Struthio camelus: one gene and its partners. The protein of the gene in region 4 interacts with the protein of the main gene of each other region in a pairwise test. Links are inferred from orthologs where the notes say so. Each region holds a gene or a part of one and is shown on either strand. Other genes may lie near its edges. The genes, in order: ANKRD24, JADE2, COBL and PACSIN1.

What was found.
Region 1: the proteins of PACSIN1 (region 4) and ANKRD24 interact in a two-hybrid assay, tested with the Homo sapiens proteins (2 studies listed by BioGRID and IntAct). The link is inferred for Struthio camelus from reciprocal best matches to the Homo sapiens genes PACSIN1 and ANKRD24.
Region 2: the proteins of PACSIN1 (region 4) and JADE2 interact in a two-hybrid assay, tested with the Homo sapiens proteins (2 studies listed by BioGRID and IntAct). The link is inferred for Struthio camelus from reciprocal best matches to the Homo sapiens genes PACSIN1 and JADE2.
Region 3: the proteins of PACSIN1 (region 4) and COBL interact in binary tests that used the Homo sapiens proteins (3 or more experiments, as listed by UniProt). The link is inferred for Struthio camelus from reciprocal best matches to the Homo sapiens genes PACSIN1 and COBL.

The regions. Positions count from the first base shown.
Region 1 is NC_090967.1:4,375,346-4,382,716, reverse strand, and holds the start of ANKRD24 (ankyrin repeat domain-containing protein 24), read right to left. Parts: upstream 3,009-7,371; 5' UTR 2,950-3,008; coding exon 2,881-2,949; intron 1,821-2,880; coding exon 1,690-1,820; intron 1,542-1,689; coding exon 1,453-1,541; intron 1,022-1,452; coding exon 957-1,021; intron 642-956; coding exon 584-641; intron 507-583; coding exon 436-506; intron 213-435; coding exon 106-212; intron 30-105; coding exon 1-29. Other genes in the region: SIRT6 (NAD-dependent protein deacylase sirtuin-6), read left to right, coding at 4,864-4,929, 6,222-6,349, 6,726-6,908. UniProt on the Homo sapiens protein: Component of the stereocilia rootlet in hair cells of inner ear.
Region 2 is NC_090954.1:4,001,361-4,009,345, reverse strand, and holds the start of JADE2 (E3 ubiquitin-protein ligase Jade-2), read right to left. Parts: upstream 3,008-7,985; 5' UTR 2,917-3,007; intron 2,784-2,916; 5' UTR 2,707-2,783; intron 2,457-2,706; exon of another isoform or gene 1,946-2,456; intron 1-1,945. UniProt on the Homo sapiens protein: Scaffold subunit of some HBO1 complexes, which have a histone H4 acetyltransferase activity. Acts as an E3 ubiquitin-protein ligase mediating the ubiquitination and subsequent proteasomal degradation of target protein histone demethylase KDM1A.
Region 3 is NC_090943.1:65,991,861-65,999,472, forward strand, and holds the start of COBL (protein cordon-bleu), read right to left. Parts: upstream 3,015-7,612; 5' UTR 2,773-3,014; coding exon 2,729-2,772; intron 1-2,728.
Region 4 is NC_090965.1:5,558,970-5,566,340, forward strand, and holds the start of PACSIN1 (protein kinase C and casein kinase substrate in neurons protein 1), read right to left. Parts: upstream 3,010-7,371; 5' UTR 2,864-3,009; intron 1-2,863. UniProt on the Homo sapiens protein: Plays a role in the reorganization of the microtubule cytoskeleton via its interaction with MAPT; this decreases microtubule stability and inhibits MAPT-induced microtubule polymerization.

The DNA of each region.
Region 1 (7,371 bases), on a different chromosome or scaffold from region 4:
CGTTCTCGCAGGCCAGCATCAAGGCTGTTCTGGAGAGCCACGAGAGGAGAGGTGAGGGGTCCGGTCCGCTCCGTCGGCCCCCCGTCCCCTTCGGGGGGGACTCACCTCCCTTGCAGGTCCCGGCTGTTCACGGCCGCTCCACGGTGCAGCAGGTACCGGCACAGCTCTGAGTGGCTCATCTTGGCAGCAAGGATCAGCGGCGTGAAGCCATCCTGGGCAGGGGCAGTGTGTTTTCACAGCAGCACCCCAGGGACCCCAGGTGCTGCCAGCAGTTAGCTGCTGTGTCCCACCCCAGAAGTGGCCACATTTCAGAGGCAGCCTCAGCCTGGCCCTTGGCTGCTCTACGCAGCAGCATCACCTGGCCCAGTAGAGTTTAATCACTGCCGGAGGACTTGACCTCCATACAACAGCAGGTGCTGAGCAGAGGGATCTCACCTTGTCCTTGATGTTCAATGGAGCCTTGAAATCGCAGAGGATCTCCGAGCACGAGATGCAGCCGCTGACAGCTGGGGAGAAGGACAGAGGCTGAGTATTGACTCCTGCAGGGATGCGAGCAGGATGGGGTGGCACCGTCCCCACTCACCTGCGTGGTGCAGTGCCGTCCGGCCGCTGCCATCAGGCACGTCCACGGGGCAGGAGGCCTGAGGGAGAGGGCCTGGGTTACAGGAGAATGGGGTGGATTGCCTGAGGGGCCAGGACTGTGGGGCACTTTGAGCTCCTTGGTGGTGGAAGAGCATCATCACCAGCCCCAAACCACATGGTGCTGGCCAGAGCCAGGCACCACCATGCCGACCAACGCCACTGCAGAGGGATGGGAGCGTGGCCATCCCAGGGATGCAGGGAGGACGAGGCAGGTTGGGCCTGGCTGTGCCCTTGGAGCAAGGGGCCGAGTCGGGCATGGCACAGGGCATGGCACCCTGCCTCCCTCGCGGCGCCGTGCACCCAGGCCCCATTACCTGCAGCAGCTTGCTGACACATTGCGGGTGGCCATGCTTGGATGCCAAGTGCAGGGCAGTGTAACCTGGGGAGAGGGACACAGACAGGTTACGGTCAGACGGACAGGGCGGTGGCAGACGGATGGGTTGGGGGACAGACAGACAAGCACACAGGCGGTCATCCCCTACCCTCTGCCCCGGGAGCTCTGGGGAACATCATGAGGTGGCTCAGGGCGCCAGGAAAGCCCAGCACCCTGCAGGGCTGGGGCTGAGCAGGGACGAGGCACCCCTGGGAACACCATGGGCCAGGGTTCAGGTGCCTGTTGGCGGCTAGGACCCTCCTTGAGCATTGATTTACAGCCCATGTGGCCATCACCTCTGTCTCCACAGCCTTGGCACCTGCCGGTCGGGTAGGAAGGACTGGGGAGTGTCAGGGGCCCAAGGCGGTCCACAGCATTACCCGGAGAGGAAAAGAGGGGGGACGAGGGAAGCTGGGTGCGGTGGCCATGCCCCTCACCTGAGCTGTCCTTGGTCATGGCATCCACGCCGTGGGCCAGCATGGCTTCGAGGCAGTCCACGTTCCCCCGCATGGCGGCCAGGTGGAACCTGCAGCAAGGCCCAGGGCCATCAGCCCCATGTCCCCAACCCCCGGCAAGCCCCGAGGAGCAGCGCTGGGTGGCTCAGGGGACCAGGAGAGCCCAGCAGCCTGCGCCAGGGCGGACACAGGGACAGGAGGATACAGGTCAGTACTCACGCGGATTTGCCCTCCAAGTCCAACTTGGTGGCGACCAGCCCCTTGCGGACGAGGAGCGACGTCACCCTCCCGGCATCGTTGTAATCCACAGCTTGCAGGAGCTTCTCATCGTTCTTGGTCCAGTCCTGGCTCTGCAATGAAACCGAGACGGGGCCGTGATGGGTGTTTGGACCCTGGAGACAGGCAGGGTGCTGGGCTGGGCTTGTGTCCCTGTCCTCATCCCCATCCCTGCTATCCCATCCCATGCCCTAGGGTGGCCATCTCCGGGCCAACTCCTTTGCCAGGTGCCATCTGGCCCCTCTATAAGGAGGGTTTAGCTGCCTGGCATGGGGGTCCCCAAGTTTTCAGCCCAGGGATTTACAGAGCTGTCCCAGTTTCACTGTGCCCAGATCGGGCCGGGATTCAGGAATGACCTGCTGCTGCCCCATCACCCTGCCCCAGGGCTTGCTGCTGCTGCTCCGCCGACCCCGCTGCTAAACACAGCCAGCAGCCACAGCTGCTTGAGCCCCCACCTTGCCCAGGCTCTCCCCAACCTCCACGCACCTCGCCCCGGCCCCACGGCCACCCCTTTTTGCTGCCCGCCAGGGATGGGGCCGAGCCAGGGCAGGGCAGTGAAAACGGGTCCCCGGGGACACCTCCAGCCCCCGTTGGCGCGTGGGACACGAGGACACCCCCTGCTCCTGCCCAGGATCGGGTCCGGATGGGGGCCGGCGGAGCGACCTGCAGCAGGACGGGACGGGGCTGGGACGAGCCCGGGAAGCCCCGGGTTCACACCGCAGCCTGCGGCCGCAAACCAAAGCTAGGCTGCGGCCGGGGGAGACAGGAAATGGATGTCACCTTTCGGAGCTGCTCGCATCCTGCCCATCGCCAGCCCGGTGCCCAGTGCCTGGCACGGGGCTTGTGCCACAGCCCCCTCCCCAATAACCCCACAACTCCCCTGACCCTGCGGAGCTGGAGGACCGTGTCCCAGGGCGGGGAATAAAGCAGTCTCCTGGGGTTACTGGGCAAACTGGGAGTGCAATCCCCCCCCCCTCCAACCCTTGCCGTGCAAGGACAAAGCAGCTCGGAGAGGACGCAGCCAAGTCCCGGGGATAGAAGGGGCCTGGGGCAGGTGAGGTGGGGGGGTGACACAGCCATCCCCAGAGGACGGGGACCGAAGGGGACCGGGGACGGGGGGGGGCAGGGACGTACCGCAAAGGAGGCAGCGGCACAGAGGCAGATCTGCTTCATGGTGTCGAGGAGGAGGCGGCGGGCGGCCATGCATCCCTCGCCCCCCGCCTGGGCGAGGGCCAGCCGGGCCGGCCGCGGACCCCAGCTGGCTCCAGCACCGCCGCCCGGGCGGGGGGCCGGGTCCTGCCGCAGTGGGAGCTGGGACCCGCCTCCCTCCATCCCTCCGTCCCTCCTTCCTTCCCTCCCTCCTCATCACCGGGAGCTCGAGGCATCCCCGCATCCCTGCGGATGGAGCGAGGACCACAGCAGGACCGAGCGTCCAGGGCTGGTCCCAGTTAGACTGGGAGGGACTGGGGTGGGGGGGGGGAGGTCAGCTCCCCCAGGGCGAGGCAGTGGGGCACCCCCAAATCAAGGACGGGAGCATCCTCCTGGCACCCAGACCCTGCCCTGGAAGGAGGGGCACAGCCCCCCCCCCAAACTGGGGTGGAAACGCAGGTCCCAGCCGAAGCGGGGGCCGCGCTGGGACAGGCTGCGGCCGTGGCCCCAACCGTTGGGGAAGGAAGATGGAAACCCGGCCGGGGAAGGGCAGAGCTGCGGAGAAGGGCCCCCCCCCGGATAGGGGCAGTTTAGGGGGGCAGCAGCGGCCCGTTCAGCCCTCCCCGCTGCCGCAGCGCCCAGAGGAGCCGGGCAGGTGGGGAAACCGAGGCACGGGGCATCCCCGGGCCAGGCAGCTCCCCAGACCCCAGGGAGGGGGCCACGCTTCGGCGTTTAACCCGCACCAAAACGAGCTCGAGCAGGGCCACGTCCCCCCCCCCCCCAGCACCTCCGCGGGCACCGGGGACGGCACCGTCACCCCCGGCAGGGTGGCAGCTGCCCTCCCCGCTCCCCGGCCCGGCGGCGGACCGCCGCGCGGCGCTGAATTATTGATGAGTATCGACGAGTGCCGTCACCGAGGTGGGAACCCGATGGCCAGCTCCGGAAACCTGGCAGCCCTCCCGGGCACCCCAGAGCCGGCAGGCGGGACCCTCTCGCCCGACGGCGTTTCCCCCCTCCGTCGGGGACCCCCTTCCCCCCCCCCCCCCCCCACGGACCGCACTCACGTCCGACTTCTTGAACTTGGCCTTGAGGCTCTTCATGGCGGCTCGACCCTCCGGCCCGCCGTGCCTAGACGAGGGAGACGGCGGCGCCGTGAGGGTCCCCGTCACCCCAGAGGTGGTGGCGGGGGGGGGGGGGGGACACGTGCGTGCGCCTCCTCGACGCCCTGCTCCCCCCCCCAGCAGCCGCCCCCCAAAACCAGGCCCGCGTGGGGTCCCGCCGGCCGCCCCCCCCCACCGTCTCCCACCGGCGCCCGCAGACCCTTCCTCACCCCGCGGCCGCCCCGCCGCTGAGCCACCCCGGCGCTTCGTGGCCGGCCGGCGGGCGCCGGGGGGGACCCAGGCGCCGCGGGGGAGTTGGGTTACGGCGGCTCCGGTTACACCTGCCCGCGCCGAGCGGGGCCCCCCGAGCCCGTTCGGGGCCTCCCTGAGGGCGGCAGCGGGTGCCCCCTTTTGCCACCCGTGGGGTGATGTGGGGCAGCCCCCGAAACGCCCCGGGGAAGGCGGTGGCGGCGTGACCCGAGGCAGAGGGGGCCTGGGGGGGGTGGATGGAGCCCTGCAGGGCTGGGACCCCACATCCCTCCCCAAGGGTTGGGGGCGGTGTGGGGCAGGGCTGGGCCCAGGCCTCGTCCCTGCCTGGCACCCCCCGCCCAGCGCCTGTGTCCGGGCCGGGTTTTGGGGGGGGGGGCAGGAATTAGGCTGGAGCAGAGGAAGGGCAAGGGAAGGGCAGGTGCTTTCCCTGCCAGGCACCAATATGGCGGCGCCGCCCTCGCCTTCCCTCCCCACCGGCCCTGCCTTGCGCATGCGCCCCGCGCCCCGCGGCTTCATTGCGCGCTTCCGCCCTTCCGCGGGCATTGACAACAATGAAAACTTTATTGGTGCGCGGCGGGCGGCGCGGCCGGGCCGGGCCATGGCGGTGAACTACGCGGCCGGGCTCTCGCCGTACTCGGACAAGGGCAAGTGCGGCCTCCCCGAGGTGAGCGAGGCGCCGCGGGGCCTGCCTGGCCCGGCCCCGGCCCACCCCACCCCTTGTCCCCCCCTGTCTCCCGGGTGGGGCCTCCACGCTCCCCCCGGTGCCCCCCAGCGGCGGCCCCGGCCCAGCCGTGTCCGTCCCCCCAGCCCCACGGGCCCCCTCCGTGGCTCCCCCCCCCCCAGCTCCATGGTCTTCCAGCCCTATGGCTCTCCCCCCGCCCTCCAGGCCCAGCCCCACGGACCCCCTTTTGCCCCCCGGCCCAGCCCTGTGGCTCCCCTTTGTACCCCCCCCCCAAGCCCAGCCCCGCGCCCCTCTTTTTGCCCCCCCAGCAGGGATCCCCAAGCCTATGTGTCCCTTAGCAGGGATTGCACCCCCCCTGCCCCATGTTCCCCCTCAACCGGACCCCATTTGTGTTGCCCCCCACCCCCAGCAGAGACTCTCCCAGTGCCATAGTGCTGCCCTTGTGCCTCCCCCGAGCCCAATCCGTGACCCCCCCCCTCCCAGCAGAGACCCCAGTGCCCCCTCAGGGTCCCCCCTTTTTCAGGGCAGGCCCTCGCCCGCTGTGGGGCCTGTCCCAGGCATAGCTGGGGGGGGGGGGATCCCAACCTCGCGGCCCAACAGGGCACAGCAGCGCTCGAGAAGCTTAGAAGAGGTCTAGGGGGACGGGGACGCGCAGGGGCGTCCTGAGCCCGCCTTGGAGCGCGGGGACGGGACGTCCTCCTCAGCCCGTGTCCTCAGGGGACCAGGCTGGAGGAGCAGCCCGCAGAAATGCAACTCTGCGTCCGTAACGGTCGCCCGTGCCAGAAGGCAGGATGGTCCCGCAAACCCATCCAGCTACAGTGGCTCTGCCTCTTCCATCTCCATGGCCACCCTCTTCTTCCGCTGTGGCTCGCTGGCCCCGAGCCCTGTCGAGCCCGCGGCTCTGCTGGGGAACGGTGCCGGGGATCAGTGCACCTGGGCTGGCCCCGGGGTCGCTCCCTTCCTCCTGCTGCTCCACTGTGCCCTTGATCCAAGATGCTTCTGTGGGTATCAGGTACCCGTTGGCAAGAGCATTAAATACCCTCTTCTGCATAAGGCTTTTTTAAGCCCCTATACTACATGGGGACAGTTTGTACAATGCTGTTTCTCTCCAGTTAGATGCTTTTATCGTTAAGCAATGAGAAATCTTATTTCCCACCTGCAGTTTTCATTGTGGATAAGAAAGAACAGTTTACTGGGTGTGTGTGCCTGCTGCGGGGGTGCGTAGCACCCACCACTGGGTCTCTCAGTTCCTGCTGTGGTTTGTTTCTTCTCAGATTTTTGATCCTCCGGAGGAGCTGGAGAGGAAAGTGCGTGAACTGGCAGATTTGATAAGGAGTTCCTCGAACGTGGTGTTTCACACAGGGGCTGGAATCAGTACTGCCTCAGGGATTCCCGACTTCAGGTAAGGATGGTGGGTAAGGGAGCAGGACAGCAAGTGAGGGGTGGAAGGAGTAGCACCTCCTCGTGGGCCATTGCACTTCTCGCAAAGCTCTGGACTGTGCTCCCTGCCGCCCCTTCCTGCCTGCAGCAAGACCTGGTCCTGTAACCAGCCACCACTCAGCAGACACTACCCTTTCCCTCTTGCAAGTCGCTGCTTGACATTAAGCTGTACCTGCAGAAGCCCCATGTGTGTTCTCCTTCATCAAGGTCAGAGATCCCTGGTAACGGGTGACCTTCATTTAGCAGAGTCTTGCTCTTACTCTGTTGATAGTGCTCGTGATGCATTCACAAGCATCTTAGAGTCTGTGATCATCACTTTTCTGTCTGCTCTGCCACAGGGGGCCAAATGGTGTCTGGACTATGGAAGAGAAGGGGCTCTCCCCAAAATTTGACACCACCTTTGAGAATGCCAGGCCCTCCAAGACTCACATGGCACTGCTGGGGCTGCAGAGAGTCGGCATCCTCAAGTTCCTGGTCAGCCAGAACGTGGACGGCCTTCACGTCCGTTCGGGATTCCCACGGTACTGCTTCTCCCGCCTTGCTTCTGGGTCCCCTGTGCCTGCCCCAGCCCCAGCCACTGTTGTGTGGCTGTTCTTGCTGCCCAGTTAGGGTGGTCGCATGTGCAAACTCTTGCCAATGCTCCTAACAAAATGGGCCAGCTAATTTTCTCTTGATGCTGGGGCCTGAATGCTCTGCTTCCAAGAAATGTCCAGCTTGGAAGCTGTCTGCCCACTGATACAAGCGGGGAAACCGGAATGCATTGGTGGGGGAAGGGGATGTAAACCAGCTTGAATTCAGAGAAGAGAGGTTGTGGCAATAATCTGAGGGGTAATGAAATGAAATCAGCCTCAGGTGATGCTTTTCAGTAGTGCACCCAGCCAGGTGCCAAGGGTGCTCACAAGCAGAACAGGCAGACAGTGCTGTTGGGCTGTAGCAGGTTACCTACCGCCTGTCAGCTGAGCTGCAGCAGCAGACTGCGCAGCC
Region 2 (7,985 bases), on a different chromosome or scaffold from region 4:
GAAATTTAAAACAAAACGAGCCCCGGTTTACTTCCGGTGCTTTGCATTTTTTCCAAACCTAGAAGGGGATTTTTTTCTTTATTACTCATATTTATGACTTTACTTTCCCTTTCTGACTTGTTTAGCTTTTACCCTCTCGTCGCCCACTTTCTCCTCAACCAGCCGGGACCTGCGTGAGGCAGGACCAGGGAAGCCGGGCCCTCGGGGACAGCCCTGCCTCCTGCCAGCCTGGGCGCAGGAGGCGTCACCTGCGCCGTCCCGCAGCTCCGCCAGCAGCCGCAGCTGCGCCCGAAAGCAACGGCAGCTATGGGCCCTCGGCAGGGAATACCTAGGGAAACCCAGATCGGTCCCTATTGAAGTTGGAGGCTCACGTCTCCCCCAACTTGCAGAACGTGCTGTCGAACGCTGCCAGCAGCCACCGATACGCTAATGTCATCTCCCTGCCCAGAAGCCTTCAGGGTTCGCATACTTGCCCCTCCTTTGCTCCAAGCCTTGATTTTTAGGAATCAGCCTCAAGTTTTCCTAGGAAAAACAAACCTAACCTTTGATGTAACCTTTCTACAAGCTATTTCTGCTTCCATCTCAAGCTTATTTTAACCTCAGCAGCCAATAAACGCTTAAAGGTCAACCACCATTCCCGAGAGCGAGGCTCCTCACCCCAGGCAGAAAGCCCGAGATCACTGATTTTTCCCCAAGTAAAATCCCCCCCTTTCTCACAAGAAGCCTCACGGCGAGGGTCGGGGTTCAAAACTAACTAACCGAGGGAGGGCTGCGGGGGATGTGCACGGCCAGGGGCCGCTTTCCCTTCCCAGCCCGAAGGCTGCCAGCATCTGCAGCCCGGGAGACCTTGCCCCGAGCAGCACCTGAGCTGGGCAAAACTCAGCCTTTCTGCCCTTGCAGCATCCGCCAGCTCGCACGTCGTTGCCGCCTCCTGGGCGGCGCGGAGCGGCGCGGCGCGGCCGGGCGGGGGCAGCTCTCCGCCGCGCTGCGCAGCGCAGCGCAGCGCGGCGCCGGCTCGGCCCGGCCCGCGCGGGGGCGCAGCGCCAGGGGGGCGGCCGGGCCCGCGCGGCTCTGCGCGGCTCTGCGCGGCGCGGAGGCAGAGCCGCTCCCGGCAGGACGCCCCCGGCAGGGCCGCGGTATTTTTAGGGCCGGCCGAGGTAGGAGGGGAGGCGGCCTGCGCGGGGCTGCGCGGCCGCGTAGCGCGGAAGCTCCGGGGAGGGGGTGGGGGGGAAGGAGGCGGCGGGGCGAGCAGCGAGCAGAAGGCGCGGAGCGGAGGCCGCAGGGCAGCGGCGCGCAGCCGCCACGCCCCCGCCGCCGCCCGGCCCCGCGCACCGGCCCGCGGCCGCGCAGCGCCCCGCCGCCCCGGCCCCGCCGCCGCGCAGCGCCCGCCCCGCTCCCAAGCGCGCTGCGCAAGCCCCTCAAGGCGCCCGCTGCCGCGCATCTTCCGCCGGCACCTCGCCGAAAGGGCCCGCGCGTTGCGCGCCCCCCGCCCGCGGGCCGGGCACGGCGGCCGGCGCGGGGCAGCCTCTGCCGCAGTCATTAATTTGGGAAATATGTATTTAAAAAAACCCAACAACAACAGCAACAACAACAAAAACCCAAACCCGCCCAGCCAGGCTGCCCGGCGACCCTTTAAAAGTTCTTGTTTACATTCCCGCTGCCTCCCTCGTACACTTTAAAACAAGAGTGACCAACATGCGCAACCCGCCGCTGGCAAACGCCGCACATCCCCCCGCCTCGCAGCCGGCCCCGGCGAGGACGGGGCCGGGAGGAAAAAAAAAAAAAATCCAATAAATAAATAAATAAATAAATAAATAAATAAAACCCAGGGGGAGCTGCAAAATAACGATCCGCTGCAAAAAAAAAAAAAAAAAAATCAACCGATTCCCCCCCCCCAACCTTGTCCCCCCCCTCCCCCCTCCCCGAAGCCCCGCTCATCCTTTACCTTTGCCAGGAGCGTGTCCTCAAAAGAGTTGCGACTGTCTCTGGGGTGACGGGAGGGGAGGACGGCGGAGGGGGCGGGGATGCTCCGCAGCCTCCCCGGGGCTGAGCGCCCCTGGCCCGGCTCAATCCGGTGTCATTGCCGGGGCCCGGCGGCCCGGGGAGGAGGGGGGTGTAGCGGGGGGGGGGTGTAAGGGGAGGGGGGCCCTTCCTTTTCAGGAGCGGCCACAAAGTAACTCCATGGATGCAAAGCCCCCGGCGCTCGCTTCCAGCCGAGATGGCCGCTCCGGGCACAATCCGGCGAGCCCTGCCTGCGCCTTTCTGTTTCTTTTTCAGCGCGCACTTCCTCGGGAGCTCCTCGCAACAACGCCGAGCCGCGCCGCGCCGCGCCGCGCCGCTTGGCCGGCGAGGGCAGGCGGAGAGGCGACTTTTTGGAGCGGTTACGGATAATGGTGGTATCGCTCCGTTTCTTCCCCCCCCCCCCCAGCCACCCACCCACCCCTTCCCCGCCGCCGCCGCGCCTCCCAAATCTCCCTTCAGCGCCTCGCTTTGCGGCTCGCCGCCTCCCGCGGGCGCGCAGCGGCCGGGCCAGGTGCGGCGCGCGCGGGCCCCATCGCGGCCGGGCGCGCTCAGCGCCCCCCGCGCCGCCGCCCCACGGCGCGGCCCGCGCCCCGCGCCGCTCCGCGGGCGCCGCGCAGCGAGCCCTGCGCACGCACGCGCGCACACACACACACACACACACACACACACACACTCGCACTTTACCTCCTCTCCCCCCTCCGCTTCACTCCCCCTCTCTCCTCCGAGCTACGCACAGGCGTAGACTGGGCTGCTGCTGCAACCTTAAAAAAAAAAAAAAGAAAAAAAGAAAAAAAAAGAATAAGCTTATACTTAAAAAAAAAAAAAACACTCACTCACTCACACACACACACACACACACACACACAACCTTTTGGCGCCATATTAATGACGTACTTAAAATTTGCCATTTCTCCTGCGTCAAAAAGACGTTTCTTGCCCATCGCGGAGCGGCGCGGCGGGCGGGCCGGGGGGCGGCGGCGCCGCCCCCCCCCCCCGGCGGCAAACTTGCGCGGGCGCGGGCCGGGCGGCGTGGGAACAGCCGCCGGGGCGCCCGCGCAGCTTCCGCGCCGCTCCGCGCTGTGGCGCGCGCCTCCCCGCGGCCCGGCCGCCTCCCTCCCTGCCCGGCGCTCGGCGGAGCGTCCGCGCAGCCCCCCGCCCGCCGCGGCGGAGCCGGCTGCGCGGGCGGCGGCGGCGGCGCAGCCCCTGCCCCGGGGGCGGCTGCAGGCGGCGGCGGCGGCAGGAGCAGCGCGGCCGCCCCGAGCGGAGCCTTTGGGCACATGAAACGTAACGCCCGGGCGGACGGGGCTGCGCCTTGCCCAGGCCCCGCCGCGCAGCGCCTTGCACCAGTTGCTTTGCACGATTTTAACCCCCTGCTGCCGAATATTAAAATTCAGTTTAGAGACAGTCTGTCAGTCGCAGCCTGTTATGATCTCTGGGATTTGGTTAGCTCCGAAACTCACTGATTGTGAAAAACACTGGGAATGACGAAAGGGACAGCAAGGACCACCACCGATAACTAAGGTAGTCCAGTATTCCCCAGTGTACACCTCCGTTTCGGCTCCCTACCTAATTTGCCAAACTTTAATGAATTAGGCTAAAACTTGCTGTTTTGGGAGCCTGTGCTGCACATTTTCTGAAAACTCTACTCAAAATCCTTTGGCTCTTCCAAGAACGAAGACATAAGAAGGGGGGGGAAATTTGCTTTGCTCATTCTTGGGGTTTCTATTTATGTATTTATTTATTTTTAGGACTGTGTAGGTGGAAATAGGGTCTTGAAACTTGCCCTGAGGCAGCCTTTAGATAAACCCACCCGAGTTAGACGTCTTACTAGTCCTCGAAAAGCAGCAGCTCCCAGCGCGGGGTAAAAACATGCCCGATTCCAGCTGCTGATTCCTTGGCAAATCTGTTCCCTGCGGACGCGGCCCGCCGCTGCCGAAAGCCGAGGGTGCTCGGGACCTCGTGCGGGCGCAGCTCTCGGCGGTGCCAGGCCAGGCAGGAGCTGAAGAAAGAGGGCGAGTTTGGGAAGAGGGATTTGGGAGCAGTTCCCATTTAGAAATAAGATGTTGTCATCTTCTCCGGGGAGGCTCTTCTCTGGAGAGCGGCCCCAGAGAAGAATAAGAAACTTTAGCTGTTAGTTTGGGAAAAAAAAAAAAGAAAGAAAGAAAGAAAGCAAAGAAAAAAAGCTCTGCTGATAGCACAGGAATGGTGGGACTCCCAAGCGCTGAGCCCACGTGCTATTTCTGTCCCCTGCTAGTGCAGCGCCGCGGCGGGGGGCACCGCCAGCAGCCCTGGCCCCGCCGCTCGGCACGCTGCGGTTTTCCCTGCCCAGCCCGGTAGACCTCCGCACGCACACTGCGCTACCGCGTTAAGCAGTCAGAACTTAGGAAACCTCCAAGTGGAGGCTTTCTGTCTAAATTTATTTAGACCTACGATACATACGTTTTCTAATGCAGTTCTTCATTTCGCCGTCACGATCTCTTTCTCCCTCGGCACCTGCATGTGCTGGACCTGCTGCGCGGGCAAGCCAAAAAGGAAACACGTTTCTGCCGGATCCCTGTCTCACCTGCGGAGCCAAACACTGTCCATGGAGTGAAGCAAGGGCTGCGGGACGCGAACGGTGTCTCGCAGGGAAGACAGGATGAAACTGCCCTGGAGAACTGGATTCTCTCCTTGCCTTTGCCACAGACTTCCCTAACAGAGTCATTAAACGCAACTTTTTGGACACTGATGACTGTATTTCCCGCGTTGTGGGTGTTTAGCTGGAGAGCTTTAGCCCAATTTGCTGACATCCATCTTACAACTACGGCTGGAAGCAGCGGGTGCTGCGCTTGCATGTGCAAAGTGCTGTATCATGATAAATGCTCTGAAAAAGCAGACGTTACGCTTCCCGGACAGAGCACCCGAAATTAGCCGGAACTTCTGACCTTAATCCGTCTGCGTGTCACCCTGACCCAGAACGAGCGTTTTGGGAGGATTAATTAAGGTGCCCAAGCGCGGATGCAGCGTCGTGGAAAGTACCGTAGAAAAACTCGCGAGGAAAGTAGTAACTGTGTCTTCAGAGGAAGCTGCCACCTTCTCTGCTGTGGTGCTCTACCGCTCCGCAGCCTTACGAGTCTCCTGCCCCTTCTGCGGGACTTCTGGACGGTACCTGTGAAGGGGCCGCAGCACGTCCAGACCCAGGCAGGTCAGCTCCTCGGTGCAGAGCGGCCGCGCACGATACCTCCGCAGCATCCTAGGCACCAACTCACTGCGCTTTTGCTATCGAGAACACGAGCGCCTAGTTCTGATTTGGAAATTGCCCCCACAAGGGTCAGAGCTGTATTTTCTGTGGCTGTGAATGTCAAAAGTAGCCAGGGAGCGTGAATGATGTGCTCAACTAAGGCCTAGGATCGCATGTAGGACCACAGGAACAAAACAGCATTGATGAGCACCTCTCTGGCCATCTCATGGCTGCGCGAGGTAGAGGTATAGAAGAAAAATACTACCTGATCATGCAGTTAAAATCTTATTCTGCTTCCACAAAAGGGCATTTATGAAGCTGCACTGGCAATCACAATTCCGCCTTTTCTTAATTGTAGGTACTTTCCTTTGCCGCACTGATCATGCGTTTAACAGATTTTTGGCTACCATATATGCACATTTATACAAAATATGTATACAAACGCAAATATGTAACGCATACCTACAATACACTTGATGGATGGTTCTACAGAAGGGTCATGTATATTAAATATACGCTATTCAGTTTACATAGTAAGACATTTATGTAACAATTATGAGGAGCTCTGACAGGGTGTTGTCAGTTGGCATTTGCTAAGAGAAGAAATAAATCGAATAGTGAAAACAAAAAAGCATTTTGGAAGAAATAGCGCTGCACAAATCCTCTAAAAGGACAGAATTGTCTACACAACAAAGGCTCAGCTGATTGATGCTAAAATAAGCAGTTATGCAACAAGTAAGAAATATGATCTCCGGGGAAGAAACCAGCAACATTTTCCTTTCATCTTCATTCACCAGTGCTTATTTTTGCATACCTAGAAGAATAAAACAGGTAACCTTTGGATGATGAGCACATAATTAGAATTAACAGCTGTTTTTACATGATGGGCTTAGCCTTTATGAGCTTTGTATGAGCTCCAGCGTTAAATTCAGGCACTGAAAAGGAGTCCCCCAAAGTGCCGTGAGACTGCTGCTTATACTGCTCGTGTTTCATGCCTGCTAATACACTTTGGAAGAAACGCAGCGCTAGTATAACTAGATGTAAATACATTGATTTTTACGGGGGAATTGGCTCGCCAAATATCAATGATTGCAAAATTGCTAACGCAGCCTCGAGGATGAGTGTACAGAACAGTGCATCTCACAACACTTAGAGTTAATAAACCTTGTCAACAAGCCTTGACTACGGACAAAAAAATCTCAATGTCGACCGATCTCACAGGAGAGGAAAAGAAGAAAACCCAGTCGCCCGGTTGTCATCAGATTTGATTAGCGTGGTATCGATTAGCGCCAGGCGCAAGAATGGGACGGATCCAAGGGAGCGCGAGCGATCCCCAAATATAATGAAAATTCAATGTCCTTTCAAGTCAAGCGCTTTAGAAACGATCCATTTAGTAACGTTAGCCAGCCGGAAGCTGGGAGGACGTTTACTCCAAGTGAACGATCCTGGAGCGCGGCGCACCCCCTTTCCGCTGGGATTTCTCCGTGCTCCCGGAGCGGGGAGCCTGGGCGCCGGCGGAGCGGCGACCCTCTGATGGGGAATTTCAGAAGCACCATGCAACCTGAAAATTTGCCTGCTGATTTACGGCCTTCAGGACCCTCTTCTGAGGCCTCTGGTAGATGGAAGAAGTCAAAGGCATCTCATGGCTACTTTAATTAAAACCAAGGACCAGGTCAGCGCTCAGCCAATCCAGGAGGGCAGCGCAAAGATGCTGGAAATCTTTTTGCCTCCGTATCCCAGATAGGGCGGTCCAATATTCAGCGGTAATCGTGAAATTTGACTTCTATTGAGACAGGTGTTAATTTGGAGAATAGTAAGCAGATGCAGTAGCAGGAAAAAAGGACAAGCTCTGTTCTAAATTATAATAATAATCATTCCCATCTCCTGGAATGAATGACTACATCACTACACAAACGAATCCTGTTTGTTTCTCAGGCGTTCTGCACAGCCCTTTTCCCCTCTGAAGCGAGGGAAAAATACGATACTTACAGGAGAAGATTTGATTTGGCAGATCAGTGGCTGGTGAGATTTTGTTGGAAATCTCAATTACCTTCCGTAGCTAGAAATTTGGTATCAAAATAAACTGCAAACAAACAAACAAACAAAAAATAAGCTGTTGGCGTTACAAATGGCCATCCCTCGACAGGCACCTGCACAGTTCTCTCTGCGCAGCAGCTGCTGTCATATTTTTCCGAGAAATGGCAATCCCTCTCTCTCCGACGGGGTTGCCCTGAGGAGCGCAGCCCCGAGCGGTTCGGCGTGGAGGCGCCCACCGGCCGGCTCGGGCTCCTGCCGGGTTTCAAGACTCCTCCTGTCGGTTTGCTTCTCCGTTTTCTGCACGTTCAAGTCGATCACGGAGCGCACCGGGTGCAGCGCGCATCCCCCCCGTTGACCTAGCTGTGGCTTTCGAAGGGCCCTCAGGAGTAAAACGGATCTGGGGAAATAGGAAGCGCGAGTGGCGAGCGGCGCTGCTGCGACGGGAGCCCTGGTCTCGCTGCCCGTGCCCTGGCCGCAGCCCGCGGGCACCGCTGCAGGTCCCGGCTTGCCCGGTTCGATCCCCCTCTTCCCCTCCCGTAGACACGTCACGCTTTCCAAATGAAATATAGCTGGCGGCAGGGCGGGTAACGCGGCGCCGTGGGCTGTCTCGAGCTTCAGCGTCGGGAAATTTGACTTTTACGGGCGAATCCCGTGCGGCGAGCTGCGCTAGGAGCAGCTGCGACGCCTGAAAGCAAGCGTTGCGACG
Region 3 (7,612 bases), on a different chromosome or scaffold from region 4:
AAAAAAAAAAAAAACAGTGTATTTCTCTCTTCTAGCACCTGTTGCACAATTACAGAAGAAGAAATTCTCACTTCTGGTGCTGCTGCTGCTTTTCTTAACTTCACCGTCATCATCTAAAATTAATGTTAGATGCTCCATAAAGCTTTACAAAACTCATGCCTAGCAATCAGTAATAACAACATTATCGGTAGCCAAATCTAAACTATTTTTTAAATTAAGAAATGGGAAAAACCCTGTAGCACCAAGACAAATTACATTTTTTCCTTTGCTATTTAAACAAAAAACCCCAGTATCCTGCTTTTAAATGTGCAGTTGTCAAGCAGCTGTGCCATGAAATACACGTTGTCAGATTATCTGCATAAGACACACAGCAGAACTGTTCTACTCCGTACCAAATGACACATCAAATTTGTTCACTGTTTAACAAAGGAAACCTGTAACAGAGCTATTAATGATTTACATAGAGACAAAACAGCTCTGCCTAAATTTTGTAAAAAATGTTTAAAGCCACAGTCATTTTAACCTCTTCCTTTCATAACTGCAAGCTAACCCAATCAATAAGCTAGAAACTCATACAGCATTTCTTCTCCCATACAAGGGATATACTTGTGCCAGAGCCCCTTAAATTAAACGCTCCCCTGACATGCTCCATAGGTGCAGTTCACTTTTGGATTCACAAGGGAACTAACAGGAATAGGCAAAGCTGTCTCCCTGCCACATTGTACTGGTCCTAGTGGATTTCTTCACTGAATGAGTAAAACCTAGCTAGGAACCAAATATCCACCCCGTTTCCAGTGCTAAGGCTAGTAATTTAGGGAAGTTAGAACTGTTCCAGCAAAAACCATCACCAACAGCATGGCCACAGCCAGACTGAGAGCTCTGAAATTCCAAGAAAAAGCAACAGTATTTCAGCTCTTAACTGAATTAAGATGAAACATACAGTCATTCCTTGTTAATGTATACGACAGCTTTGCAGTCAGCTTCAGCAGGCGCAGATTAGCACCCATGTTCTGTACTATACGTGATCCCCGGCACCTCTAACCTTAAGACCAAGTTCTCCTCCTTGTGCCAGGTCAGAAACAAAGTGACTGAACCTCATGCTGCTGCTCTAATTTCTCTTCATTTACATAGTAGAGAGCCTGGCCATGCAATCCACTTTAAACTGATAAAACTGCCTAAACTGACATCGTGGACCTTTGGTTAATAAAGCCCCCGGAACTTCAGTGAATCTCTCAGAATTGTACCAGTTTTCATTTTGGAAAAACATTAATAATATGGACTCTTGTTCAAAATTTAAAACTCTGTAATGAATCTTTTGACATCTAGCAATCAAGACAGGTTTTTAAATCAACATTACATTTGAGAAGTATAGTTATACCTCAAAACACATGTAAATTTGCATCCCTCATCTCTTCTTCATCAGAATTCTGGAGAACAGCTACGTTAAGAAATCAAATCTTTTTAAGTACATACATTGCTTCTCTTTAAAAGGTTAATTTAAAAAGTCATAATCGAATAGACTGATTATCAGAGATTAACCATCTTACAACAAAGCCCCAAGCTATATTATGCTCTGCAAGTCAAAGAAATAACTGTTCACGTGGAGTTTTTACTCATACAGCACTAGCAGTGACATTTCCCTTCATCCATCACTCCCTGTTCTGACCAACCTTCCAGTTACACATTGGAAGACCTCCCACGAAACACAGAAATGAAGGAAATTAAACAGAGCAAGTCTACACAGTTTATCAACACGGACTTTAAAACTTTCCCATGTAGTCGGCAATGAATTTATGACATAAAAACTATAACTAAAAGCAAAGCAGAAAAGCTTCTGAACCAACTACGTTCTTTCCCAATACGTGCAGACAGTGTGAAGTAGAGCAGTAAATTGCGACGAGTAGACACTGCAACTCTTAAGACTTGCCCAGCTTCTACTCGGACAAAAGAGACCACTTAGGACTTGACGCGTGTGCAGCTCTGGGTGCTTAATTAGTGGCCTACCTAATTTGCTGCTTTACAGTCCGCATTTATTTATTCTCTTTAAGAACCCCAAAGCCACATATGGTTAATACTCGGGTTGACTACGCCGGGTCCGTTATAGCTGTTAAATAGGTGCAGGACACCAAAAGGCACTAGAAACTCTGACCAGCAGCCGACCTGCGTGCCCACGGCCACAGCAAGCGTGCAGGGGCGGCGGAGGGGTAGTTTAGCGCTCGGCAGGAATCTCCAGATGTCAGAGGAGCCTGCCCAGCACCGCAGTTTACTAAGTTTTAACAAAATTTTGGCATTATTGACAAGCCTTGTCAGATTTTTTTTTTTTTAATTTCTTTCCCCCCTCCTTTACCACGACTGGGCAATGGGGGTAAGGAACTGAGGGCTGAATAAAAACCTTCCAAAGGCTTTTGGCAGCTGCCCGTGAGCACACAGACGGGAGGGGGCACACGTACGAGGAGCCGCGGCCGCCGGCGGCCCCAGCGCCGCTCGGCGCTGCGCAGCCGCGGGGAGCCACCGCCCCCGCGAAACAGAAAAAAAACAACAACAACAACAACAACCCAAACCCCGCACTTTTCCAAGCGGTTTCCAAGCTGTGCCCTTCTCCCCGCCCGGCGCACCCTGCCCTGGCCGCGCCGCCGCCCCGCTCCGCCGGCAGCAGCGCCCTCGCGGCCCGCCGGGCACCGCACCGCACCGCAGCCCTGCGCAGCGCAGCGCGGTCCGGACGCCTTACCCGCTGGGGGGCTTGCCGGCCCCCGGGTGCACCAGCGTCTCCATGGGCGGCCGCCTGCCGCCGCGCACGGTCCCGCTGGGCGAGCGGGGCCAAGGTCGGAGGGAGATGGGGGGGGCGGGGAATTAAAAAAAAAAAAAAAGGGGGAAAAAAGAAGAAAATGATTAAGAAGCGGCTTCTTTCCCTCTCTCCGGTCGCACCTCGCTTGTCCTCCGGCCGCGCCGCCTCCCGCAGGGCGGCAAGGCAGCAGCGGGCGGCAGCGCGGCGCTCCGCGCACACCGCCACCGCCGCCGGGCGAGGACGGACCCGCCGCCAAACCCGGGCCGGGCCGGACCCTCCTACCTGGGGGAGGGCGCGGGGAGGGGCGGCGCGGCGCGGCGCGGCGGTGCCCCCGCGCAGCCCCCGCGCAGGCGGAGGTGGCCGTGGCCACCTCTGCGGCAGCCGCCGCCCTGCCCTGCCCGAAGCAGCCTTTCCACCAGCTCCGCAGGAAGGGCGACGCCGCCGGCTCCCACAGAAAGCGCCTTGCTTTTATTTTTGTATAAAATACTTTATATGCATCGCAATATTGCATATTTTTCGCTTTTTCTTGGTGGCAGCGGAAACAGCTCATTTAAAATTAGTAGACGGCTTCAGTCAGGAGAGCCGCTGGAAGGTCCTTGGTGAGGAATCGGACATGGCACGGACTGGCCCCGAGATGCGCCCACTGAGTGGGCTGAGCCGGGGCACCTGGTGCGGAGCCGCTGCTTGGTGCCCGGCTGCCCAGCACACCCTTCGTGGCGATGCCGGTGGCACTTAAGCATCGTAATAGGCTATTTCAGGAATACTTACCTCGTGCCCTCTTACCCTAGGAGAGCAACCATTGCGTGGAAGGAGAAGCCTGGCTTAGGTGACTGCGGTGCATGCCCGCTCTCTGGGGTGATCCGTTTTGGGCCTTTCTGGTCTCTCCCGGGTGTTTCAGGAGTTTCTCTGCCCCAAGCCTCCCCTTCACTTCCCAGCCGTGGTGGGAGGGCAGGAAAGAGCTGGGACAGGCCACCAGCAAAAGCAGGACGCAGGAGATGAGAACAAGCAGTCTGAGCAGACCGACAGTGAGAAACTCCAGTGAACGGCTGTGAGCAGCAAAGGGGAGCGATTCCTGACAAACCTTTTCCCCCAGCTGCGCCAGTGACAGTCCCACAGGCTATCCTGTCAATCAATGGTCACCCCTTTCCCCAAGCTCTTCCCTCCCTTCAGCTCGCATCTGCGCCACTTCTGCCCATCCGACAGTGCCTCGCTCAGCCGAGCGTCCTGCATGAATGCAGGCAACTTCTCTGGCCCAAAAAGCGAGAGAAAGTTTCTTCTTCCTCAGGGAGCAAGGCTTGGTAAACCTATGTCAGCAGCTGCATGGAAACGATGGCATTGCTATCTGCAAGAAAATGCTGCCCCAGGCAGATCATAAATCCTTGGAAACATTTAGACACTGGATTAATGTGCTAATAATAGAAAGGAAAAAAACGTTCATTTTTTCTGTATTGCATGAATGGAAGATTTCAGTAAACCCCCACCTTCTTCTGTCTTGTACCAAGGCTTCTGCATTCTAATCACAGTATCTGTTTTTGTGCATCTATCTCTGTGTATAACAAAACGATTTATTGTAATATAGTCACCCTTAATTTCATCTCCTCTCACTTTGATGATTTTAGATCTCTCCCCTTAATTCCTGGCTCTTCTTCCCAGCAGAAGGTTAAGAAGCTGTTTTCTGTTCCCCCTTCTCCGTACCTGTCCTGTCAACGTGTATGCAGAGGGCCCAATGGTAAGAGAGGCAGCTGACTCCCCCAGCCATAGTTAGAGGAACAGAAACACAAATTTGCAAAAATGAAACATCATTGATCCTTAATTTCCCTGTTTAAGTTGGTTGAAGTGACCAATATACATTGATTCAGTCACCATGCTTTGATAGTTACCCCGGTCATCTGAGCTATAGTAATGAACTACATGCATGTCCTTAATTTGCCTCATTATGAAAAGAAATAGGCTACTTTACATGGGTATTTTGCAGGTGGAGTGGATTCAGAGAATGCACGCTGTCAGTCACAAGGAATTGTTACGGTGAGTCGTTATCTGTTAAACTGTGGTAACTGGCTTTCATAGCTCTGTTCATCATTTGCTTACCTTTACATCTCCCTTTTCTCCTCCTAAACCTAAATGTACTCTTTCCTATCCTAGAATATATGCTAAGGCTGCATGGGCACAAAACGCATACAGGAGCCCCAGGCCTTCCCATGTCTACATCATACCTACGCTGCTCCATTTATTTCAAAAACCTGAAATAACTTCCTCTGTCTCAAGAGTGATTTCTGTTACACTGTGATACACCTGCATGCCAGTATTTCCTCACTCCAAAGGTGTGTTGGGCCTTCCTGCCACCCACTTCTCTCTACTCCCATCTGCGCCGCTCAGACCCACCCTGCTGCCCTGTAAGGGACTCTCACCGCTACTGATCTCTTTTGCTCTTACTTCATGGAGCAACCACCTCACTATCTTCCCTGCACATCTGTAGCTCTGCTGATGTTCCAGTTTTCCTCACCCTCTCCTATTTCACATCAGTGAACACATTTTCTGTTTGATACCATCTTCTTTCTGTAGGCATATAAAGGCTGTCACAACAAGGCGCGAACCAGTAAACGATGGTATCAGCTTCTTATGTTCACTTCATTTTGTACAGCACAGCAAAAGAGTGAAAACCTATTAATCACTGAAATCATCGTCTTAATACCTCTCTAGAGGGCTAGGAAGAGCAGCACAGGTTGTCCGTAGCCAAAATCCTGCAGTCGTGGTTAGCCAGCTGAGGGTCCAAGCGGAGTACGTAGAGCCGCTCTTTGCAGTACGACCTGGGTATTTGCCTTTTGCCAGGCAACTTGGTACCTGGCCCAATTCTCAAAAGGAGCCAAGGGAGCGATTCTACTGTGCACTGTAATTTCCACAAGCGGGAGGCTGTGCTAATTTTTTAGGCATTGGGCATTAGCCCTGAGAGGGGCTGTACAAGTATTTGCAAATCTCATAAAACGTCTACGAGATTGAGTATATGCAATCCCAGCCCGGACCGGCTTTTTAACCTTCTCCTGTCCATACAGTTTCATGACTAATCATCTCCATTTAGATGACGTCCTCAATATATTTCCTAAGACTGTTAAGGCATTTTGATGATAACATCTCTGCTATGAAATACCTATGAAATACCTTAGCCTTGCTATGAAATACCTTACAAAATGATACTTTATTAAACAGCAATGCAACTTCATGTTTCCACTCTTATCCAGTCTTCAAAACATGATTCCTATTTTTCTTGACCTTCACTGCTAATTATATTACGGAGTAAAAGCTTTAAGACTTCATTCTTTTTCAGATAAAACTGGCCTGCCATGTTTAAGGAATTTTAGTTTACAGTATAAACCTAACTGAATATGTAAGGAATCTAGTAAGACAAGTATAATAGGAATGAATTTTTTTTTTCTAATGTAGCAAAAAGAGGTTGACGTTAGGTCAGGATTAGCTAATATACACCAGTTATCCAAGACTTTTTCTCGAATCTAGCACAGTTTATATCTTTTGCTACAACTTAGCTGCTTGAGGATCATCCTAGAATTTGAAGCCAGGTTTTAGCCTAAGAATAAGAATAAGAAAAGATTGTGAATAGAAGTTAGCTAATGTGGGCAATTTTAGTTAATAGCAAATACACATTTTTGCCACCTAAACTCAACTCTTTTTTCCACTCCAAGCAATCTGAAAGTTGCAGTTTAAGCCTTATATAAGAGTACTCTCTTATTTGCTATACAACTGCAGAATTCCTGACTATGTAACAACTGGAGCTGTGTAGCCTCAAGCTCATGAAATTCCTTTATTTTTCTATCTGCAGGAAAAATGGAAGGGAAATTAAACTTCCTGGGCTTCTCAGACCCTCGAGTCCCAGAACCACCCTTCTCCAACAAGCTGTTTGGGGATTTAGCCCTATAGGTCCAATTGGTTTTATTGGGAACTTAAAATAGCCACGAGCAAATTACATTGATTTTACAGAAGCCTGTCAAAACCCAAATAAAACGGACACAAAATTTTTTGAACAAATATTAAGTCATCGCTAGTCTATACGATACTAGTGTGACATTATCGAAAACCGAGAGGCTGAATTTGCTTTAGAAAGACACAGTCATTTAATGCCTAGAGGCACTCCAGGGGGAACTGGGATATGCAAATTGGCCTTGGCTCTGTCCATAGTCATGCAGCAAATCACTGACAAGTGTCTGGTACATCTTTTGTTTCTCTTACTTGTCTAGCGCCGTGCCTAGGAGCCTCATTTATGATTCAATACCAAAGTGTACCACATTCAGGAGAGAACAAAAACTAGTTCCTGCTCTGAGAATCCAAGGAACAGCAGTCTTATTTCTCTATATGGTTTTGGAGTTTTAGTCTAACAAGTCTACGATGTAATTGGGTCTCCCAAGGAAGAGAGGAAGAACGAATAAAGGTAGTAAATCATATGACGACACGTCAAAGAAGCCATCTGAACAAACGCAGGGATATGGACATAGGTTTTATATTTTATATTATGTAGCTACAGCCAGGATCATTTGTATTACTTCTGAGTTATCAGATAATCACCTACTGTGTATGTAGAAATACTCAAGTTTGCCCTTTGTCTTTAGTTATCTCTAGACCTATTCTGTCCGGAAAGGTAGGTCCTTTCAGAGAACCTTCTTCTTTTATCTCCTGAAACTTAACTGAAGTTGGTCAAGAGTTTGGAGGGCATTAAACACCTGGAAGAAGGAACTGGGAGTGTGCACAATTGCTTGCTTGATGCAAAAGGCTGGAGAGCCCTTCCCAGCCTTTGCTTGGAAAAAGCTGTTGAGGAAACCT
Region 4 (7,371 bases):
CGAATCCAGCCCGCTGAATCGGGCTCCTCGCCCCCCTTGCAGCCGCTGTGCCCTGGGGTTGGTTTTGCCACCCGGCACGTTTGGCAGAAGGAGCCACCTACCAGACCTGGCAAAGGCGGAGCAGAGACTTTTTGGGAAGAAGATTTGACGCCCCGACGGGCGATTCGTCTGCTGATGCCCCGAGCGGCGGGCAGCGCGCCGCAGGCCGCCGAGCCGGCACAGGGCCGGAGCGGGGACGTCCCGGCGGGCCGAGGGCAGCCCCCTGCCTTGCGGCTGCCTCTCTCGGTTGGCTGCAGCGCTTCGGCGTTGCAAAATCACCTCGGCTACAATTCCTGCAAAACGCCGGGTGATTTTCGCCTTTTGGTGCTTCAGGCCGTTAGACTCTCCGGCAAGAAAGCGGAGACGGGAGACTAATTGGGCAGCGGCGCCCTGACAAACGCCTCGGGGAGCTCTGCAGTCCTTGGGTGGCGCGAGCTGGCAGGTCTCAGCCGCCGCTCTCTGCACCGCCGCCTGCTGCGCGGGGGCATCAGGACGCGGAGGGGCGACCGCTCTGAGCATCGGGGCTCGGACGAGCTGAGCCACATCTCTTTGCCTGGCAGGCTCGCTCGCAGCTGGGGAGCCGCGTCTGCCCGGCTGCCGAGCTGGCGCTGGGCTCACGGGACGAGAGCCAGCCGCTTCTCCCCCAAAACCGCTTCCCCGACACGCTTTTCCCCCGGCTTTCACTATCCCACGGGTTACTATTTCCCCTCCTGCAAAATCAGCGCCCGCGTGGGAAGCAACAACCGACGCCGGCAGGAAACGAGGCCTGATTTAGGGGGCCGCTCGGCGGTCTACGATGACGCTTCTGCCAGCAGCGCGGCAAGGCGCTTCCCTCCCAGAGGAGCGCAGCAGAAGCGTCGCGGCGGCCGGAGGGGCCGAGAGGGGTCCCCGGCCGGCCCCCAGCCTTCCCGCTGCCGAGCTTCGCCCCCGCCGGCCGTGGGAAGCCAGGCGCGGGGCTATTTTGCATCTCTAATTAGCGGCGGCAGCGGCGGGCGAGCGCAGTCCTGCAGAAAGCGAGCCATTGTGCAGGGCCCCCCCCGCCGGCGCGGCGCAGGTGCCGCCACAAACCCGGCTCCCACCCAAACAATCCCCTTTTTGTCCGCTAACCGCCGGCCCCGGGGGTATCGTCGGAGCCCTTCCGGGGAAGGGGCAGGGGCCGCGCCACAAAGGCTCCATTTTCCCCTGGGAAAGCAGCTCGCGGCGCAGGGCGGAGAGGCGCCGAGGTATCGCCCCGGCCGGCCGGGCCCCGGCGGCACCTCGCTGTCCCCCGGCGCCTGCAGAGCTGCAGCAGCCACCCGGCTCGCTCCTAGGCCTCGCACAAACGTCGGGCGGGCCGGCCGCCTGGCGAGGGGACAAAGTCTCCCCGCGCGGGGCCAGCGCTGTTGGCAACGCCGCTGCCCCGGCAGGAGGAGCGGGAAGGACCTGCTCCGGGCTCCGCAGCAGAGGGACCGTCCTCGTGCTCGGGCGCGGGACCGACGGCCCCCGGGGGCTGCAGGGCCAGGCCGGCAGCAGCATCGCCGGGATCCCTGCAGCCGCTCGGAGCCGCCGGCGCTCGAGCTCCGAGGGTAGCGCGGAGGGTCGAGGCGGCTCGGAGAGGCGGCGGGAAGCGCCGGCTCTAATCCGTTTAGCAAAGCGCTTGCTTGGCCGTTCCCAAGGCGGGTGCAAGAGTGGTGCCGCGGGGCTGGCGGCTGCGGTGGGAATGGGGGGACGAGCCCGGCAAGAGGAGCCGTTTCGCCCCGGGGGGTGGCCGCAGTTAGGGCAGCATCTCCGGCTCTGCCCCCGCGACGTTTTGGCTGCCTCCCCCTGCCTCCCGGCTGTGCAAAGCGACAGCAAAGCCCCGACGGAGATGCCACCAGGCTGCCGGCCCCGCGCGCCCCGGCTGCACCAGCCTCCGGCTCGGCTGCCCCTCCGCAGCGCCGGGGCCCCCCGAAACCGGCCGGCGCGAGCCCTGCGCCCCTCGGGGCGTCCCCAGCAGCACGTGCGCACGGACCCCCTCCACCCCCTCCTGCGGGTGCAAAGCGGCCAGGAAGGATGGTGAAGCTCCCCCAGACCTTCTCATCTCGGCTCTCCGAGCCCCTCCGGAGCTCAGCCCCCGCCGCAGGTCGTCCCCTCTCGGAGACCCCGAGGAACCCCCCCACTCCCCCCCGGCGGCCCCCGCGGTGCTGGCCCAAGGCAGAGCCGTGCCGGGGCCGGGGCGCTGCCAGGGCCCTGCCGGAGGCTGGCACCCACCGGGGGGCCGGGGTCCCTCCGGGGGACGGATCAGCGTTTGGCCAACGTGTCCAGAGGGCGCTGGGGATGGGGGTTTGGGGCAGGGGGGCAGGATGCTGCGGCAGGCGACGCCGGAGAGGGATCAGGGAGGGGGCGCGAGGGGCGCGGGGGCTAGGCACGGCGGGGCACGCCGAGGGCTGGCGCTGCCCCCGCCGCGGGACCGCGAGGAGCCGGCTCGGCCCGCAGCAGCGCCTGGGAAGGGGGCCACGGCCCTTGGAAGGCCGCGCCGGGGTCCGGGCGCGGGACGCGGCGCTGCCCGCCGGCCGGGCGAGACGGCGCCGCCGGGGCGGCGGGGAGACGAGCGCAGCGGTCAGCTCGCTCGGCGCCGACGGCCACGACATCTGCGGGCCGTTCGGGCCCCGTTTTCGGCTTCCAGCTCTGTGTCATAGGTTCACGGAAAGCTTTAGGGACCCGGCTTCGGAGGGGGCCAGCTGGCGGGCTCCCAGCAGCGGGCCCTGCCCCCCGCCCCGGGGCCACCCGCTGCCTGCCGGCACCCCGGCCGCCCGTCGTCGCCTGCCCCGACCCCCCCGGGCGCCCGGGGACGGCGTGCCGGTACCTGCGCGGAGAGGCTGCGGGGACCATGGGCAGCGGCGAGGGGCGCCCACCGGGGTGGCCCGGGCGCCCGGGCAGCTGGCAGGCAAGGCCGGTTGGCTCCGTCTCGCTCCGGCTGGCGCTGCACATTGGAAGGAAGGTCACAGCAGATGGGGAGGAGGGGGGTAAAGATCAGCACGGAGATTAGAGAGGCATTTTTAGCCAGCCAATCGCCGCCCCGGCTCGGCGCAATGACTCCTTCGCAGCGCAAGGTGAAAACATTACTGCAGAAGCAGCAAGGAATAAGCCTGGAGCCCGGCTTGGCCTGGCCAGGCGGAGGCAGCTGTGGCGTCCCGCTGCCTATACCCCCCGGCTCGTCTCTCCTTCATTTCCTTGCTCTTTTTTTTTTTCCCCCCTTGCAAGCTTTTATTTGCAGCCTCCTTCCCTGCTCCTCTCCCTCTGCTCTCCTAGCCAGCCCCTGGCACCCCGGGGCTGATTTGGGGGGTCCCCGCACTGCAAAGCCCCGCGGGGTCCAGCCGGGGCAGTTTGCAGGGCACAGCAGCCCTCTCCCCGCTGCCGCCCGCGGGAGCCCGGCCCCGGCTCTGGCATTTCCATCTCCGAATCAGGCAGGAGGAGCGCCGGCGTGGGAGAGGAGGACGCCGCGGCGCCCCGGGGCGCCTGGACGCCGTCCCCGGCGGGCGGCCGTGCTTGGCCCACAGGGCAGCGCGGGCAGTGCCGGGGGCGAAGGCAGCAGGTCGCCCTAGGAGGGACGAGCCGCTTGCAGCGAGCGCAGGTGCACGGCGGCTCCGTGCCTGCATCGGGTACGAAAGCACTGTGTTTCGCCGGACCTGCTTCAAGGAAAAAAAAAGGAAGGTTTTTTTTTTTTCCTCCGAAGCGCAGCCAGCTGCTCTCAGCTCCTCCTAACGACAGAAGGGCCCCGAGCCCGGAGGTGCGCAGAGCAGGTTTCTCTCCAGCACGTGTTGGAGTCCAGGGAGGTTGCGCTCCTTGGAGCAAGGTGCAGGAAACAGCCAGTCTGGCACTGCCCAGCTTCTGGGTCAGCCTGTCCCAAGCGTTTGCGGGTCGCAAAAGCCGCGCGGCACCCAGCGGACGCACAGAGCCCGAATCGCAGTGTGAACGCGCCGACACCGTGGGGAGCTCTGCAGGCTCCTTGCAGCGGTGCCGGGAGCCCGCAGCAGGAGCCGGGAGGGAGGCAAGCGCTGTGCCCCGCTGCTTTCTGCTGCTCCGCGGGGTCTGATCAGCTCCATGTCAGCCCAAAGCGACAGGGAGGCAGGGGTCCGGCGGCACAACGGGGAGTGGGTAGACGTACATACACACGCAGATGGAAAGATAAAAGGCAAGCGTGCCCTGTGCTGCAACCAGTGCAGGACGGGAAGGAAAAGACCTTTTCCTTATTCCTGCCCCAGTCAAAAAATTACAGGGGCTGAGCCTTTCACGGAAAGGGCCTCGTCCCGTCCTGCTGAAGATGCGAAAGGACCAGAGAGGATAGAGAAGAGGATGCGGCGTCTCCACCCCGTCCCAGGGACGGCTCAGTGCCGGTGCAGAGGTTGCCGAGCTGGGCTGCGGGTGGCCCAGCTGCCCTCAGATCTCCTGGCTGGGGTAATCCGGGGTGCAAAAGGGTCTTTGCACGCCTTCAACAAGCCCCAAGCCCTTTGCTCGAGCACGTGAGCCAGGTCAGGGAGCAGCGGCAGCTCTCCTCGGCAGACCTGCGTGTGCGTCCCACGTTTTCCCCACACCTGCAAGACCCATCCTGCCCCCAGGATCCCAGCCAGGGCTTTACAGCCCGGCTCCAAAGGGCATCGCAGGTGTGTCGCTTCCTCCTCACCTTCGGCTCTTCCCTGCACCACCTGCAGGAAACAGCAGGGCTTATTGCAAGCGCAGGGCCACCGCAGGCCTTCCCGCAGCGATGCTGTGATGCAGTGCTAGGCACCATCCCGGGCTTGCCGGGACGGCAGTGGCTGTCCTGCAGTCAGAGCAGACAAGCAAGAGCTTGGAGATTCCCCAGGAGGTGTGCGCATCGGGTGCTCCCCTTGCCTGCCTTGCTCTCTCCTCCCTGTGAAAAGAGGCAACGCTCCGCTCCGCTCCGTCGGCTGTCTGTGCTCAGGAACACCTGCAGAGGGCTTGGGGATGCTCGCGCGGACAGCATCTCGCCTACGCTGAGGGGTGGTTTGCGATTCGCTGCGGCGCTGCCTTCCCTGCTAAAACCTATTCTTGCTGGCTTCCCCTCGCGGCTTCCCCGTCCCAGCGCTGCCCTTGTTCCTGCTGCCGTTTCGCTCCCAGGACCGATGGCAAAAGCAGCCGAGCCAACGCCGAGAGCGTCTGGAGACCCCGGCGCCGCGCCGGGCGGACGCGATAGGGATGTCTGCGTGCGGGGCAGGGGCGGCGGGGCAGGGACCCGCGGCCAGCGCCCTGGCCGGAGCGGGGCTGGCAACGCGCCCCCAGGACGCTAATCCCCGCCAGGGTGTGCAGGATGATCCCAGCAATCTGCCTCCACCGTGAGAAAAGGAGTCGGCACTGCAAATCCCATCAGGCCCAGACACGTGTGACCGCGGGGGTCCCCGTGGGCCAAGCTGAAGAAGGAAAAGGTGCCGCTTCTTTTCGGATGCCGCAGCAGAAACACGTAGCAGCATGCGGAGCTGCCACGCACCGTCGTTCCTCCCTGACCTGATTTAAAAACGGTGATTTGAGGGTTTTCCCAAACTCTTGAGATGTCAAAACGCTCTGCGGAGACCCACGGGCTGCATTTTACGGGGTCCAGCAGCCGCTGGGACGTGAAGCTTCGTGCTTGTTGCTTTCCGGGGCCGGGGTTGCCAGGGCTGGGAGAGCAGCGCCAGGCCCTGCGGGCGGCATCGCTAGCAGCCGCTGGGAAAGGGACCCTCGTGATGGCATTTCCCACGCACGGGCTGCTGCCGGGGGAAGGCGAGCGAGCCGCGACGCAGCTGGTCTCCAAGGCCCTTTCCGGGCCGGAGCTGCTCGGCGGGAAGGTCCTCGCCGCGAGGCAGCGCGCCGGCGTGCACCGTCTGGCGAGGCAGCAGCTGGCCGGTGCGAGGACCTGGGGGCAGCAGCCCCCCCCCAAGGCACGGGCTGTATTTCTTTACTTGCTCGATGAAATATTTAAAGGCTCCGTTAAATGAAGCCCTGCCTGGTTTTGCTGGGGAAGAGCTGTTTCTGTGCCGGGAGGCTCTTCGCTCGGGCACCCCGCGGAGGGGGATCAGAAAACTTCCCGCAGCCCTATATCCAGGGCAGGTTTTTGAGGAGGGAGATTTGGGAAGACGAAAAAGGGGGCAAGCCCCTGACCGCCCCGGCTGCCCCCTCGCGCCAGCGGGCTGTGGGGGATCCCCGGGTAAGGCGGCGGTGGAGAGACGGCGATCAGGATTTGGGGCGTTTGGCGCAGATTTGGAGGAGGGGGGAGCGGGGGCGGCTCGCCCACGCTGGCATCGCCCGCGAGCCTGCGTCCGTCCGGCCCTGGCGCGCCGGGCACGGCTCGTCATCCGGATAACAGCAGCTCCCTCTAGCGCTGCTGCCGGCCCCGGGTGGCCAGCCTGCGCGGGGACGCGCGCCCCGGGTTTCTCCAGCCGGCAGACCTGAGGGCAGCCGGGGCACCCGTGGCCTTGCCCGCTCCATGCACTGAGCGCCCCAGGCCTCTGCTGCCCAGCGTGCGGGGCCGAGCGGGGCCCTGCGAAGCGCAGAGGGGACGGACGTCCCCTCCCTCTGCCGGTGCCTGGCTCTGCTTCCTAGAGCAATAACGGGATAACGGGCCGGGATAACGAGCTGGGATAACGCGCTGCCTTCCTGCCAGCCACCTCCGCCCCTTCTCTGTCGCGGCGACCTGAGGCCTGGAGGCAGGCGGCCGCTCCGCTGCCCGGGGGCGACAAGCGCAGGCCGAGCCCAGGGCTTCGCCGCCGCCGCCGCCGCCGCGCTCCTCTCTCCTCGTTTCACGTGGAGGAAATCGGCGCACCCGTTATCGGGACGGGACGGCGGCTGGCGAAGCCGGGGCAGGCGGGGAACATCAGAAACGCCCTCCTGTGCCAACGCGCCCCCAGCTCTGCCCCCCCCCCGCCCCAAATGCACAAAACGCCGGTTTGGCCCCCAAAAGAGGAGTGCGGTTCGCTCCACGCGGGCTAGGCCTCGCGCCGTGCTGCCCTCTGGGCGTCAGGGGCGAAGGGAGGAAGGGCTGGGGAACGCGGGGGGATCGCGTGGGGCAGCGTGGCGGGGAGGGCCCGGGGGAGCAGGCGGCTCTCCGCGGCCAAACCGGCCCCGCGGGAAGGGGGCGCGTTTCCAAACAGGCACCGCCGCGGACACCCCGCTGCCCGGCGCGGCGGGGGCCTCGGCGCGCCTCCCTCAGGCACCGCCGCGGCCACCCGCCGCGCCGGGGGGGCCTTTCGGAGGCCGGAAGCCGGCGCTCTGCGCATGCGCCCTCCTTTCCGCTCTCGGGCCCGCCGCCGCCGCCACGGTGAGGCCGCGCTCCGGGCTCGCATCGGCCTCGGTTCGGCGCCATCCCGGGGCGGCGCTGCG